Oryza sativa Japonica Group: one gene and its partners. The protein of the gene in region 1 binds, or shares a complex with, the protein of each later gene. Links are inferred from orthologs where the notes say so. Each region holds a gene or a part of one and is shown on either strand. Other genes may lie near its edges.

What was found. Proteins that work in one complex are often made in the same cells at the same time.
Region 2: the proteins of COP9 signalosome complex subunit 4 (region 1) and COP9 signalosome complex subunit 7 are in contact, whole or in part, in a cryo-EM structure (PDB 9IS6), measured with the Arabidopsis thaliana proteins. The link is inferred for Oryza sativa Japonica Group from reciprocal best matches to the Arabidopsis thaliana genes COP8 and FUS5. Residues at the interface, in NP_199111.1 of Arabidopsis thaliana: Glu269, Arg270, Ile271, Arg273, Ser310, Lys313, Leu314, Tyr315, Thr316, Asn317, Ile318, Arg319, Glu322, Thr325, Leu326, Val357, His359, Gln373, Asp383; in NP_563645.1 of Arabidopsis thaliana: Met1, Lys108, Val124, Arg125, Glu128, Asp129, Ile132, Asn133, Met136, Tyr137, Lys144, Leu145, Asp146, Gln147, Leu148, Pro155.
Region 3: COP9 signalosome complex subunit 4 (region 1) and COP9 signalosome complex subunit 8 share a complex: the UniProt entries of both Arabidopsis thaliana proteins name them as parts of the CSN complex. The link is inferred for Oryza sativa Japonica Group from reciprocal best matches to the Arabidopsis thaliana genes COP8 and COP9.

What each region holds. Positions count from the first base shown.
Region 1 is NC_089037.1:5,168,910-5,173,007, reverse strand, and holds the start of COP9 signalosome complex subunit 4, read left to right. Parts: upstream 1-1,298; 5' UTR 1,299-1,406; coding exon 1,407-1,787; intron 1,788-3,191; coding exon 3,192-3,295; intron 3,296-3,382; coding exon 3,383-3,443; intron 3,444-3,517; coding exon 3,518-3,610; intron 3,611-3,699; coding exon 3,700-3,800; intron 3,801-4,061; coding exon 4,062-4,098. UniProt on the Arabidopsis thaliana protein: Component of the COP9 signalosome complex (CSN), a complex involved in various cellular and developmental processes such as photomorphogenesis and auxin and jasmonate responses.
Region 2 is NC_089041.1:18,480,435-18,484,546, reverse strand, and holds the start of COP9 signalosome complex subunit 7, read left to right. Parts: upstream 1-1,312; 5' UTR 1,313-1,389; coding exon 1,390-1,560; intron 1,561-1,692; coding exon 1,693-1,768; intron 1,769-2,365; coding exon 2,366-2,454; intron 2,455-3,187; coding exon 3,188-3,277; intron 3,278-3,485; coding exon 3,486-3,530; intron 3,531-3,619; coding exon 3,620-3,690; intron 3,691-4,112. UniProt on the Arabidopsis thaliana protein: Component of the COP9 signalosome complex (CSN), a complex involved in various cellular and developmental processes such as photomorphogenesis and auxin and jasmonate responses.
Region 3 is NC_089038.1:21,626,986-21,631,168, forward strand, and holds the start of COP9 signalosome complex subunit 8, read right to left. Parts: upstream 2,801-4,183; 5' UTR 2,699-2,800; coding exon 2,615-2,698; intron 2,524-2,614; coding exon 2,447-2,523; intron 2,336-2,446; coding exon 2,154-2,335; intron 1,248-2,153; coding exon 1,140-1,247; intron 1-1,139. UniProt on the Arabidopsis thaliana protein: Component of the COP9 signalosome complex (CSN), a complex involved in various cellular and developmental processes such as photomorphogenesis and auxin and jasmonate responses.

The DNA.
Region 1 (4,098 bases):
TTGTCTCCCCGAGGGGTCGGACCGCTCCCGTCTCGGCCCCGAGGGCCGAGGCGCCCCGACCCCTTGTGGGTTTTGCGCCGCGTATATGGGGTAGGTGAGCATAGCGGGGCTCACCTAACCACATTTATTGCGGTTTGGACGAGCGCGTCACGCCGCATGTAACGCAGTGCAGCGCGCTCGTTTATCCGGTCTGTGACCAGTCACAGACCGATCAGATCGTGGGTTAGGTGGCGACAGGCGGTCTGACGCACGCCTCGCCCCATCCCGTCAGGATGAGAGCCTCCAAGCACTCGTCCCTAGCCGGAGCCGGCGTGTTAGCTCCTGGAGATGGCACGTTGGTCCCGGTCAGATATATACCAGGCTTCATCCTAACCATTACAAGCAAGACATTGTATGAAGAGGGGCGAACATGCAGATTGATAAACTGACGCGTGGTGGACAAGAATGACCGATTTGTGACCGGTCTGACACTGGTCATGTCGTCAGCAGACAGCCATGTTCCCACGTCGCGCCTGCTTCCGGCGGAAGTGGAGGTAGGTATGGGCCGTCCCATCAGAAGGTCATTCGGACGGCAACCATACAAGTCTCCGTCTGTTTATGAAAAGATAGGATAAGTCCCCACAAAAAGAGAGAGATGGTGCATGTGGTATCCCCTTGAGGTATAAAAGGAGGACCTTGCCCACTTAGAAGGGGATTTTTTTTTCGGATCCAGAACGATCAGAGAGGGAGAGAGTAAGAGCTCTCTGGTTCTCCAGCTCTTTTGTAGCTTCTTCATACATAGATCCACAAAAACACAGGAGTAGGGTATTACGCTTCTCAGCGGCCCGAACCTGTATACATCGCCCGTGTCTTGTGTGTTTCCATTCTCGCGAACCTTCCACACACAGACTAGGAGCTTAGAATCTCACCCAGGGCCCCCGGCCGAACCGGCAAAGGGGGGCCTGCGCGGTCTCCCGGTGAGGAGCCCCACGCTCCGTCAGCCACGTAGACGCTACGTCGGCCAAAACCGCCCTCCATACTGCCGAGGGACCTTGTTTGCTCGGTTTTTGTAAGTTGAGGGACGGGTCATAACCGGTTTTGCGGTCAAAGGACGAAAATTAGACAGTCCGACAAATAGAGGGACCTAAAGTGAACTTATTCCGTGTAACTAGGGTGAATTTCTAGAAGAAAAAGGCCCAACCCAGTTGATCCTGGGCCATTATCCCGTCAGATACCGTACGTCCCACGAAGAAAAGCAGCCCAGCCCGTGGAAGCCGTCTTGCTCCCCAATTCCCCGAGCTTTTCCTCCCATCTTCCCCGCAGATCAAACGCCCCCCAAAACCCTAGGCCCCCCTTCTCCTCCGACGCCGGCTACAGTCTCCGACCCCTCCGGCGCAATCGCGGAATCGGAGGCGGCGGGCGGCGCCATGGACAACGCCCTCGCGAGCGCCGCGGCGATCGCCGACCAGCGCCAGAAGATCGAGCAGTACCGCCACATCCTCTCCTCCGTCCTCTCGTTTTCCCCGCCGGACATCTCGCAGGCGAAGCGCTTCCTCGACCACAGTAACGAGCCCTCTATCTTTGCCCCTTTACCTGTTGATTCGTATGGATTTTGTTCTGGTTCGGGTGTGACGGTTGGGTTCGGTGCGGCCGCAGTGGTTTCCGACGAGGTGCCGCTCGTGGTGTCGCGGCAGCTGCTGCAGACGTTCGCCCAGGAGCTTGGGAGGTTGGAGCCAGAGGCTCAGAAGGAGGTCGCGCACTACGCGCTCACGCAGATCCAGCCTCGTGTGGTCTCCTTCGAGGAGCAGGTTGGCACCTTTGTTTATACCCTTGGTTTCAAATCGTCAATGCTAGCCATATAGTAGTTCTGAATACATATGTTTTACTGTATAGTGGGTAGAATTGGTACAAATTTTCATGGATTTTTTCCCCGGTGATGATTATAGTTTATATGTATGGTAGTGGAGCCGTAACCGTCGCTTTTGTGATATCAATTTGAGTCATGTGGCATAATGTTATTGCAAGGGCTCATGACTCCACACAGTGCATGGAGATGATGCCGCTACCTTACTTCGTTTGGACAAGTTTATCGAGGCGAGTATGGCATGGTTCATTTTTGGAATTCATTGCCTGCCAAACTCTTAGTTTTGGAGGAATGTTTGTACTTGGTAATGATGTCAGCCAATGGTTAAGCTAGAGCATGAGATGGAGTGATGATGGGTTTGGCTAATGCCACACAGCTTGCCAGCCCATTTTATTAATTTATGGAGACTAGTTGTTCCCCTGGTGGTAGTGTACATGAAGAAAAGTATTACATGACCAAGCAATGCTATGAAGTGACTGGTGTTAGTTAGGGGTCTGAATAGGAAAGAAACTTGTCTGGAATGCAATGCATGATTCTGCGCATTGCCTGGGATGGTGGGGCCTTGTGTAAATGCTTTGTATTTCTCATCTTCCTAGTGATTTTAACATATAACATATTTATAAAGACACCGTACATGTTAAATTAATGATTGTTCATTAAGCGTTGAGTTTTTACGGATGCAGAAATTGACTATGTAATGCTATGTTTGGAGCGCATCTGATTAGGATGTATCTGTGCTGTGTGTTGGAACAAATCATTTTGTATATGATAAACAGTATTTCTTTAGGTTCTTTGTCTTTTGTTCTTTTATAGCTTATAGTGATTGCTATAAGAAAGGATAGTAGTGCAATACAAATAATTGTTGCTTCCACATGATTTGTGCCCGTGTGCATGCTACAGAAATGTAATTACTCTAGGTTGCCTTTTGGTTGATAAGAGTTCTTGCATAAGTTTCAATTTATACTGTCTGAAAGCTTTCATCTTTGTCAACCACAGAACAATTCAATGCAATTGTGGATTTGTTTTACTGAAGTGGTTACTCGTGTTATTTATGCAAGATTCCTAGTTTTAGAAGATTATGAAGAGCGGCCCAATTTGACATAATGATGTAAAAAATTGTTACGAACAATGTAACAATATATACATTCATGTTTGTTGGTGTGATAATGGGTCTTCTGTATTAGTATCTTTATAATTTACCCTATGCCAATTTTGGGCATTTTTTCTTGCAAGCTTAACCAAACTTCCGAACAAACTAACTGTTACTTTTGTTTGACCTTTGTTGGTATTATGCAGAGAAATTCTGCAATATTCTTAATCTTCTATTTGGCTGTTTATGATTTGACAGGTGGTAGTGATTAGAGAGAAGCTTGCAGAACTGTATGAGTCTGAACAACAATGGTCAAAAGCTGCACAGATGCTTAGTGGGATTGACTTGGACTCAGGGATCAGGTAGAAACTGACTTACTTTTCTTTCTGAACATGTGTATGGCTTTTTCTTCAGGACATGAAGCATCTGATTCAAATTTAAATTATCAGGATGCTGGATGACACAAACAAATTATCCAAATGTGTCCAGATTGCACGACTTTATTTAGAGGTTAGCATTGTTTGTTTGCTGTTGGCTTTAATGGTACATATTTCCAGCTTACTAATTTAGTTCTTCATTTATAGGATGATGATTCTGTTAATGCTGAAGCTTTTATTAACAAAGCTTCATTTTTGGTAACAAACAGTCACCAAGAACTTCTGAACTTACAGTACAAGGTTTGTTGATGCTGGCTCAGTTCAATATTTTTGTCTACATTAAAACAGACACTTTTACTTATTTTCTTCTTTTTTTATATATATTTAAGGTATGCTACGCTAGAATTTTGGATCTGAAGAGAAGATTCTTGGAAGCTGCACTTCGATACTATGACATCTCTCAGATTGAACAACGCCAAATTGGTGACGAGTAAGATTTTCTCTACATAGTTGCAGATTTGTTTCCCTTTTCAATTCATGTGTTTCTTATCTCCATTATCTGTAGTTTGCTTGTTCTGTGGTGACTACTCTATTTCTGCACCCTTCTAGCAATACATTATATATTTTCCAATTCCCCTGCCCCCTTGCTATTAACATCTTGGATATTTCCACTTAAATTTTACAGTTGTTACATTAGCAGCTGATACTACTTATAAAAATTCCTGATGGAACACTCTGCATGTGATCTCAGAGAGATCGATGAAAATGCTTTGGAGCAAGCTCTTAGT
Region 2 (4,112 bases), on another chromosome or scaffold:
AATGTGAAAACAACCTTGCTGGATATCTCAAAGTGGCTTGAAGGCTCCCTAGAAACTCTGGTGGTCAGTTGTGGATCAATCAGAGATAGATTCCTTGTAATCTACGACCAACTCCCAGATGAACTAGCCGATGTTATCACCCCAGCGGCATACCTCGAACAGCATCAGCTCAAGCTTGAAAAGGCTAAACAAAGGGTTGCTGATCGCCGTGAAAGAAAAGATCTTGAGGCCACCATCCAGGCTAGTAGGACTTCTATTAATGAAGAAAAGGCAAAACTTGATGAGTTGGAAGCTGGTCCAAGGTCCACTCAAGCCAACATAGATCGGCTGAATACTCGGAAGATAGAACTCCTAGCCGAATTGGAGCAGTGCAATGCACATATTGCTATTGAAGAACATAAACTTGCCGATCTGCCCAAAGCTACTGAGGATCAGAGATCATAGCTCAAATCTTCTGTCAAACATCTAGCTGATCTAATCAAGTCCCTGAAAGTAATTCTTGGATCTGATGCAGTCGATACCCAGATCATTGATGAGGTAGAACAGATTAGGCAACGAATTATATCGGCTATCCAAAAATATGTATGTGGATGAGCTAAACATGTAACATGTGAATGTATTTAGTTTGTTACCAAACATTGTTAATGCCTAGAGAATTTTGACAACAACATATTTAGTCTATCGCTCTATCCTATCAAAATTTAGTAATATTGTCAACTTGACAAAATTTTGGTATTGCTAAAATTTGAAAAATGTTTATTTTGGCAGTATAATACTCTCTCCATCTACTTTTGATAGTTATATTTTCAAATTTGAAAAATTTATTTTTGATAGGCATATTTCAATCCAACAACTTATCATCTTAATGACTTTCTCAGATTTAATGCATGACTCTCCATTCTTCCACACAAGATTGGTTGCATGGGCATCGAGAAATGTAAATATTAATGAATCGCTTGTTTACGAGAAATGACTAGTAGCATGTTTAAATGGATGATAAGTAGAATTATTTATCCTTGATCTGTGTGTCAAGATAAAATATGACTATCAAAAGCAGATGGAGGAGGAGTAATAAGAAGGCTAAAAAAAAATTGGTGTCTAAACGGGGAAGATGCATTCTTAATGGCAGCAATCCCCCACGTCGACACGCAGCCCAAGCGACCGTGGCCCTCCAGGCCCCGACTCCCGAGCACGAGTATGCGGCAACGAGCCGGACACCAGCACCACCCACCACCGTGGAGCCCAACCGAACCCGAAACCCACTCTCCCCACTACAATCCCACAAAACACAGAGAATATCACCGAGGCGAACGAAACCGAAAAGAAAGCGAAACCCCGATCCCCCAAACCCTAGCGCGTACTAGCCCCCCGGGCAAATCGCCGGCGGCGATGGCGATGGACGCGGAGCGGCGGCAGGCGGAGCTGATCGAGCAGTTCTCCGCGCAGGCGGCCGCCCTCTCCTCGTCGGCGCCGCAGCTGGCGGCGCTCGTGCTCGAGGCCACCTCCCACCCGGCCCTCTTCGCCTTCTCCGAGCTCCTCTCCCTCCCCGCCCTCTCCAAGGTATAAGGGACCCCCCGCCTCTCGCTCCGCCTGCGCCCCGCCGCGCCGCGCGTGTTTAGGGTTAGGGTTTTGGGGGTGGACCACCTCTCCTCCCCCCTCTGATTTCGATCTAATGTCAGTTCGTTGATGCAGCTCACTGGAACGCAGTATGCGTCGTCTCTGGACGTGCTCCGCCTCTTCGCCTATGGGACATTGAAGGACTACAAGAGTAAGATCACCCCCTCCCGTTGCGATTCGTACATTACATTGCCCTTATGTATGTGTTGTCATGCGTCATATGTGTATGCTTATTTGGTGCGTGAGTCTAGTGCATTGTCTTGTTGTTGTGTGTTAGGGGTACGCCCTATGAAATAGCCGCTTACCATGGACGCGATTGGCATGTGAGGGCCATAGCCCATATGTTTAATGGTTAACAATAGTGCTGATTTGTGTTAATGTTAATTCACACTTTTTTTTTGTGTTATATTGTTATAGGTTAATTTTTTGATGGGATTCACATACTAATTAATCATAATTCATCTTTGTCTTATGGTTTATATTCTGCAACAATATGTGGATAGAATTATCACATTTCTGTGCTTGAAATCATAATTTGAGCTGTGACAATCAATTTGCCTTTTCACCCACCAATATGATCAGTGTGTGTCAGGCTGTGGTTGCTAGAATTTTGTTGTTTCCTCTCTCATCGGCATGTCATTAAAACGGTCTGCAGTTTGTGGTATTCTCTGTTTATAGTAATATCAGATAAGTGCAGAACATGAACATTTACTGTTTCATTAATTGTTTTTAATTTTCATACATGTAGGTAATTCTGGCAATCTCCCTGCATTGTTACCTGATCAAGTCCGGAAGCTGAAGCAACTCAGCGTGCTAACTTTGGCTGAGTCAACCAAGGTGCAAATTTAGGCTGATACTGTCTAATATGCTATGCATTTTTTTTTTTGCTTATCCTGTGTACATAAAGTTACTAAGGGAGCGTTTAGATCCTTGGCAATGGGGATTTTAGCCTTGCATAGCAAGGGGAGTTATCATTTGGTAGTAAAAGAAAACAAATCTAACTTTCTCTGTCAATCTAGCTTAACAATTGTCAGAAAAAACTTGCTGTCAAAGGAGAGAAAAAATGGCCCCATCTTCATCGACAAGCATGTGAGCATGAACTGTTGATGGCACCAAATATCGTGCCTCGCTGCCTTGCTTATGTGGGCCATAGATGAAATGAGCAGGTTTATGCCAGGCTGAGCAAAGATAATTTAAGATCCAAATGTATCCTCACAGTTGTTTCATCAAATAATAGCTGGTCTGCATGTTTATTATCTAGGTTTTTCATTCTTCTTTCTTTACGTATGATGGGAAATAGTTCTATGCAGTTATATGTGTTAAGTGATAGTGATTCTCTGAACAGATAACAACCAATGCCAGAAACAAGCTTCTTCCATCCTATTATGTGTGCCCAATTTAGCTTTACACTATCTGTGAATACTATCTTATTCTTTATGTGCATAGCCTGTTTGAGTGTGCACTGGAAGTCAAGTTCATGTAGTATTATCTTTTACCTTAAAACTCTGTTCTATGTTTTTGCTTTAGACAATACTAAATGTGCTTGGTTTTTATTATCATTTCTATTCAGGTGCTACCATATGATCAACTCATGCAAGAATTGGATGTTTCCAATGTAAGAGAACTCGAAGATTTCCTCATCAATGAGTGCATGTACTCGGTGAGAATTTTTTTGCCTTAGGCACTTAAATCTCTATTTTCCATCTTCTAACCTCCCTAACAAAAACCATGTCATTACAAATATATCTTGTGTGGATTATTGCTCTTGTAAGCTCTCTAGCCTTTAGGATCATCGGTTTGTTTCTTGAACTTTTACACCATAGATGCTAGTATTCTAGTCAAATATTAACGTTTAATTGCTTCCCTAGGGTATTGTCAGGGGCAAATTGGATCAGCTGCGGAGGTGTTTTGAGGTCAGATGCTTGTTCTTACAAGTACATTGTTCATGGTTTCATTGTTTAGCTGGCAAATGATCCCCCTAAATTCTGTCTGTACTTGACAGGTACAATTTGCAACTGGAAGGGATCTTACACCTGATCAGCTGAACAATATGATAGATACATTATCTGACTGGTGTGTACCTTTACTTGAGTGATTGTTGCATCCCATCCCTATTTTTTGTTCACAGAAGTTTTAATGTTTGCATTTATATATGGTTCTCCCTCATATCTGATATGACCTTCTGAAAGATACATTGAGGTCATGTGTTATGGGAACTGCGGCTGGGTTATTTTGCTATGTTTATTTGTTCTAGACTCCATGTGTGTTGTCCCTTCAGGCTACTATTGTAGATGGTATGGTTTTGGTTGTTTTTTGTAGTTGGGTGCTGTAGGGATAATGTGAAATTGTGTCTTCTCTTGCCAACCCACTCTGTCTGCCTTTTAACCTTTTTAAGTTTTAATTATACACTATCCATTGTTTTTATTGTCAGTTCATAGCTTTATGTTTTAAATCATATAGAAGTGTTTCCTTGAATTTGTTAAAAGATGAATAAC
Region 3 (4,183 bases), on another chromosome or scaffold:
GATGCTTATTCCAAAAATATTCAATATGTTTTTCAATATGTTTCAAATATAGCAAGTTTTAGTTATAGCCATAGAAAGAGGGATACACGAGCCTTGATGCATTGACCACAAAAAAAAAATAATTTTCAATATGTTACATGAATGACCTACGAAAAATTTTGGTAATTAGAAGGAAGAAGAATGCATTCACTATATTGAAATGGTAAAATGAAGACAACTCTTTTTGAGTGGGTTGTGCCAAAATTTCTACTAATTTTATACTCCACAACAGTACTCAAGCCAACAGAGATAGCCAATTAGATGTGAAATTGTGGATATACCTCATTGTGAACATCAAAATCAATGGGCCAGCATTATCACAATGATCAAAACAAACTAAAATTCATGCACACAAAAGTATGTTTAATTTTGACACAACCGAGTCTCAAAGACAACAAAATATCTGACACTTTATTCAAACCTAGAATGTACAATGCTCAATCCAGGAGAAATGTGGACAACACTGATGGCACAAAATGGAATTCAAGTATTGTATGAAGGAGAGGTTTCTATTTTCTATTGTGAAAGGAAAGTAATGTAATATGCAGTGTTATAATCCAGTCAGTACAATAGAAGTGCTACCCAAAAGAAGTCCATAGGGGCACCATCATTGTTTTAGAGTTTTAGAGTTGGACACGGTTATTAAGAAAGTAGATAGAAGTGAATGGTGGAGGGTTGTAATTGGATGAGTAGTGGAGGTAGGTGGGAAAAGTGAATGGTGGAGGGTTGTGATTGGTTGGAAAGAGAATGTTGGTGGAGAAGTTGTTATATTTTGGGACAAATCCTGAGGGTTAAAAGTTGTTATATTTTGAGACATAGGGAGAAACATTTACCTTCCAAAATTCAAGGAACTTGCAAAAACACATATTGGACGAAAGATTATAATCTATGAAGAAATGCTATGGAAGTTGAAAAGGATGCAGTGTATCCTAAAATTGGGACTTTGGATGATTTCTACAGATAAAGATGACTAAAAACACCATATTAACCATGTCAGAACTTCTATGATCTATACTGTTGATTAACATGAAGATAGTCAGAACATTGTACTTAACATTAAAAAACATAGTACAGCAACAAGATAGTTTCAGAAAATGTACAGTTAGTAGCATCCTCCTCATTCATCCCCATGAAGTGAGCCACATCAGCAACGCTGATTGTGGAATATGCAGAAGTCAACAACTGGAAAATCCTCTTTCTGTAGCTTTCTGTGTAATCAGAAAACAATATTGGATATTCAAGTTAACCAATTATAAATACTAAAAAAAATATAAAACAGCAGGCTTTATACTTATTTCCTAATATAAAAATAATACTAGAAGATTAGTTGGTTAAACAAGCAAAAGGGAAACAATCATGATGTTATTAACTTATTATCCTGATTGACGTATTATTATGGTATATGTCATAGTAAGCACTTCATGGAAAGAACTTAACTTCTCTAGTTCCACTACTGTGTCACAATGACTGCTGGTAAAATGTTAACAATCACCTTATAAAAAAGTGCAAATGTTTAATTATAATGCTATTACATTAATACATTCAACAGTTTCACTCATAAATGATAACTACAAAGTGTTTATTTTGATTGAAGCATGAGTTAATGAACATCCTCTGTGCATCTAGAATTGTTGCATCATGTTGTCAATTAGAAGTAAAAATAGGAACAAAACTGAACTTCTTGGGAACCAAACTCTTATGAGCAGCCTGAAAATAATCAAATCACTAGTCCTTATTAAGGAGATAGTATAAACCCACTGAACAAGGCTATCTTAGGAAGCAAGTATTTCCAAGATAAACACTTTAACCATTACACTACGCAGCACAAAACTCTACTAACGGGCACTCTACTAATAGTAACTTTGCGTATTCATTAAGGAAGCTGATTCAGCCTGATTGTGCAGATAAATCGTTTCCACAATTACTCCATGAAGTATATGTATGCACATCTGAATCTCCCGACTTCCCAACCCACACCACAAAGTGGTGACCTCCAACACAATACTACCACAGTATGCAATTCATTCTAGTAAGCAATACAACTTTGCACAAAGACACAGAATAATTCAACTGTTGCACGTTTCCATCATGAACAGTAAAGCAACAACCAGTACCTAGGAAGGCGGCCACGAAGTCGGCGATTTCAGGGCTCCACTCGAACCCCTGCGCGGCCGCGTAGACGCCCGCGTAATCGCGGTTCCAGAGGCACTGCCCGATCCTCCAGACGGCGGCGAGCTCCGGCCGCGCGTCCTTCGCCTCCTGCGGCGTCGACTTCCACAGAAACCTCGCGCTGTTCCTGCTCACACACGCACCCACCCAGAAACACAAAAACAACATTAATCCCGGAAGCCCTAGCCCAGAAAAATTCCATGGGAGAGAGGTGGGGGAGCAGATCGCGGGGCGTTACAGGTCGTTGAGGTAGAGGTGGGCGAGGAGGTGCACGGCGTAGGGCCAGCCGTCGGTGGCGGCGCCCCGGGACGCGGCCTGCGCGAGGAACACCGAGTCAGGAGCGCTACGCTAACCCTCCTCGCGTCGCGGGAGGCGGGAGAGGGGTGGGGAGGGGAGGGATTGGTACCTGGAGGAAGAGGTCGTCGCAGAGCGGGGCGACGGAGGAGTAGGACTTGCCGGCGAGGGCGGCGTGGACGGCGGCGAGATCCATCGGAGGAGGAGGTGGCGGTGGTGGCCGGCCGCCGGCGGGCCGAGGCGAGGGGAGAAGAGGGGAAGGGTTTTTGGAGTTCGAGTAAAATTCGGAATTTGGGGCAGATTTGGAGAAATTTCAGGAAAGGAAATAAACGGGGGGAAGAAAAAACCCACGTGTAATCGTGTATCTCTCTGGCCCATCTGACATGTCCGGCCCAGGCTGGCCCGCGAGGGATAGGGTTGTTTCTTTCTCCAACATATACTGCAGTTTTTTTTTCTTTTTGAGATTACATGGCAGACTCTAAGAGACGGAAATCAGCCAAACATCTTTTATGTTACTAAAACCCTGCTAAAAGTTCACCTAGATTTGATTTCTTTATGAGATAACATGGCAGACTCTAAGAGATGGAGATCGGTGAAACATCTATTATCTTATTAGGATTTAAACCCTAGTGGATGGAGCCATGCACCCACGACTCCATCACCACCCACTAGTGCTTCCCCAACATGCTGCAAATTTGACTACTATTTGATTCAAATTTGGAAGTAGATTGAATACTACTACTGGTTGGTTTTGTCTATTTAGAGAGAGCGGTGTTTTATTGGTTATGGTAAATCATTACTACAAAGTATCTCCCGAATACACTCCAAGGTTACGTTACGGTGCATAACATCACTAGAATGTTCACAGAAACGAGCTAATAAATGAGTCGCGGCATTCAACATAGATAAACATGATTAAAACTAATAGAGGAGAAACCCACTGCTATGACCTTGATGTCTGCAATCACTATGCCATTTGAAGATTGGTCCATGGATAATGAGTTAACTCTCCGTATGACTGCATTCAGAATTACTAGCGTTTTGAAAACCTTCTTCGCAAGTGAGAGCAACAACGCGGCGTAGAGCCAATGCTTCAGCAAGCTATACTATGGTAACCTCTTTTGTGCGCTCATTGCAAGCCAATAAATCACAGGTGTAGTTTTTTATTACCATGCCCACTCCCATTCGACGTGTTTACTGAAAAGTTGCAGCATCAACATTGATAGCAACAACATCACGGTTTTATTTGAATGAGTTGATTCGAAACAAATTAAATACTATTTGATGGTAGTTTGAATGAGTTGAATAAAAACTGTTACGAAATGAGTAAATTGCACAGAACTATTCGTAACTACAAATTTATGTATATCACAAAATTACAATTTTAACATCAATATTATTATAAAACTACTAGTTTCAAGAGTTTATATTTGGGTTGAGCTACATGCTATGATTGTGTGATAAAATTAGTGTTCAAATTTGTAGATCTACAATATTATGCATTAGACCTGTAGTATTGTGGTAAATTTGATGCTATTGTGATACACCCTCTTAAGTCTGTAGTTTAATGTAAGTTTGGGTAAAATTGTAATACTGTCATAAATTTAGATCAAAATTTGTGCTTTTCTCATACACCCTATAAAAATTATAATTATTGTTTTGCGATAGTATGGTAAGGTGG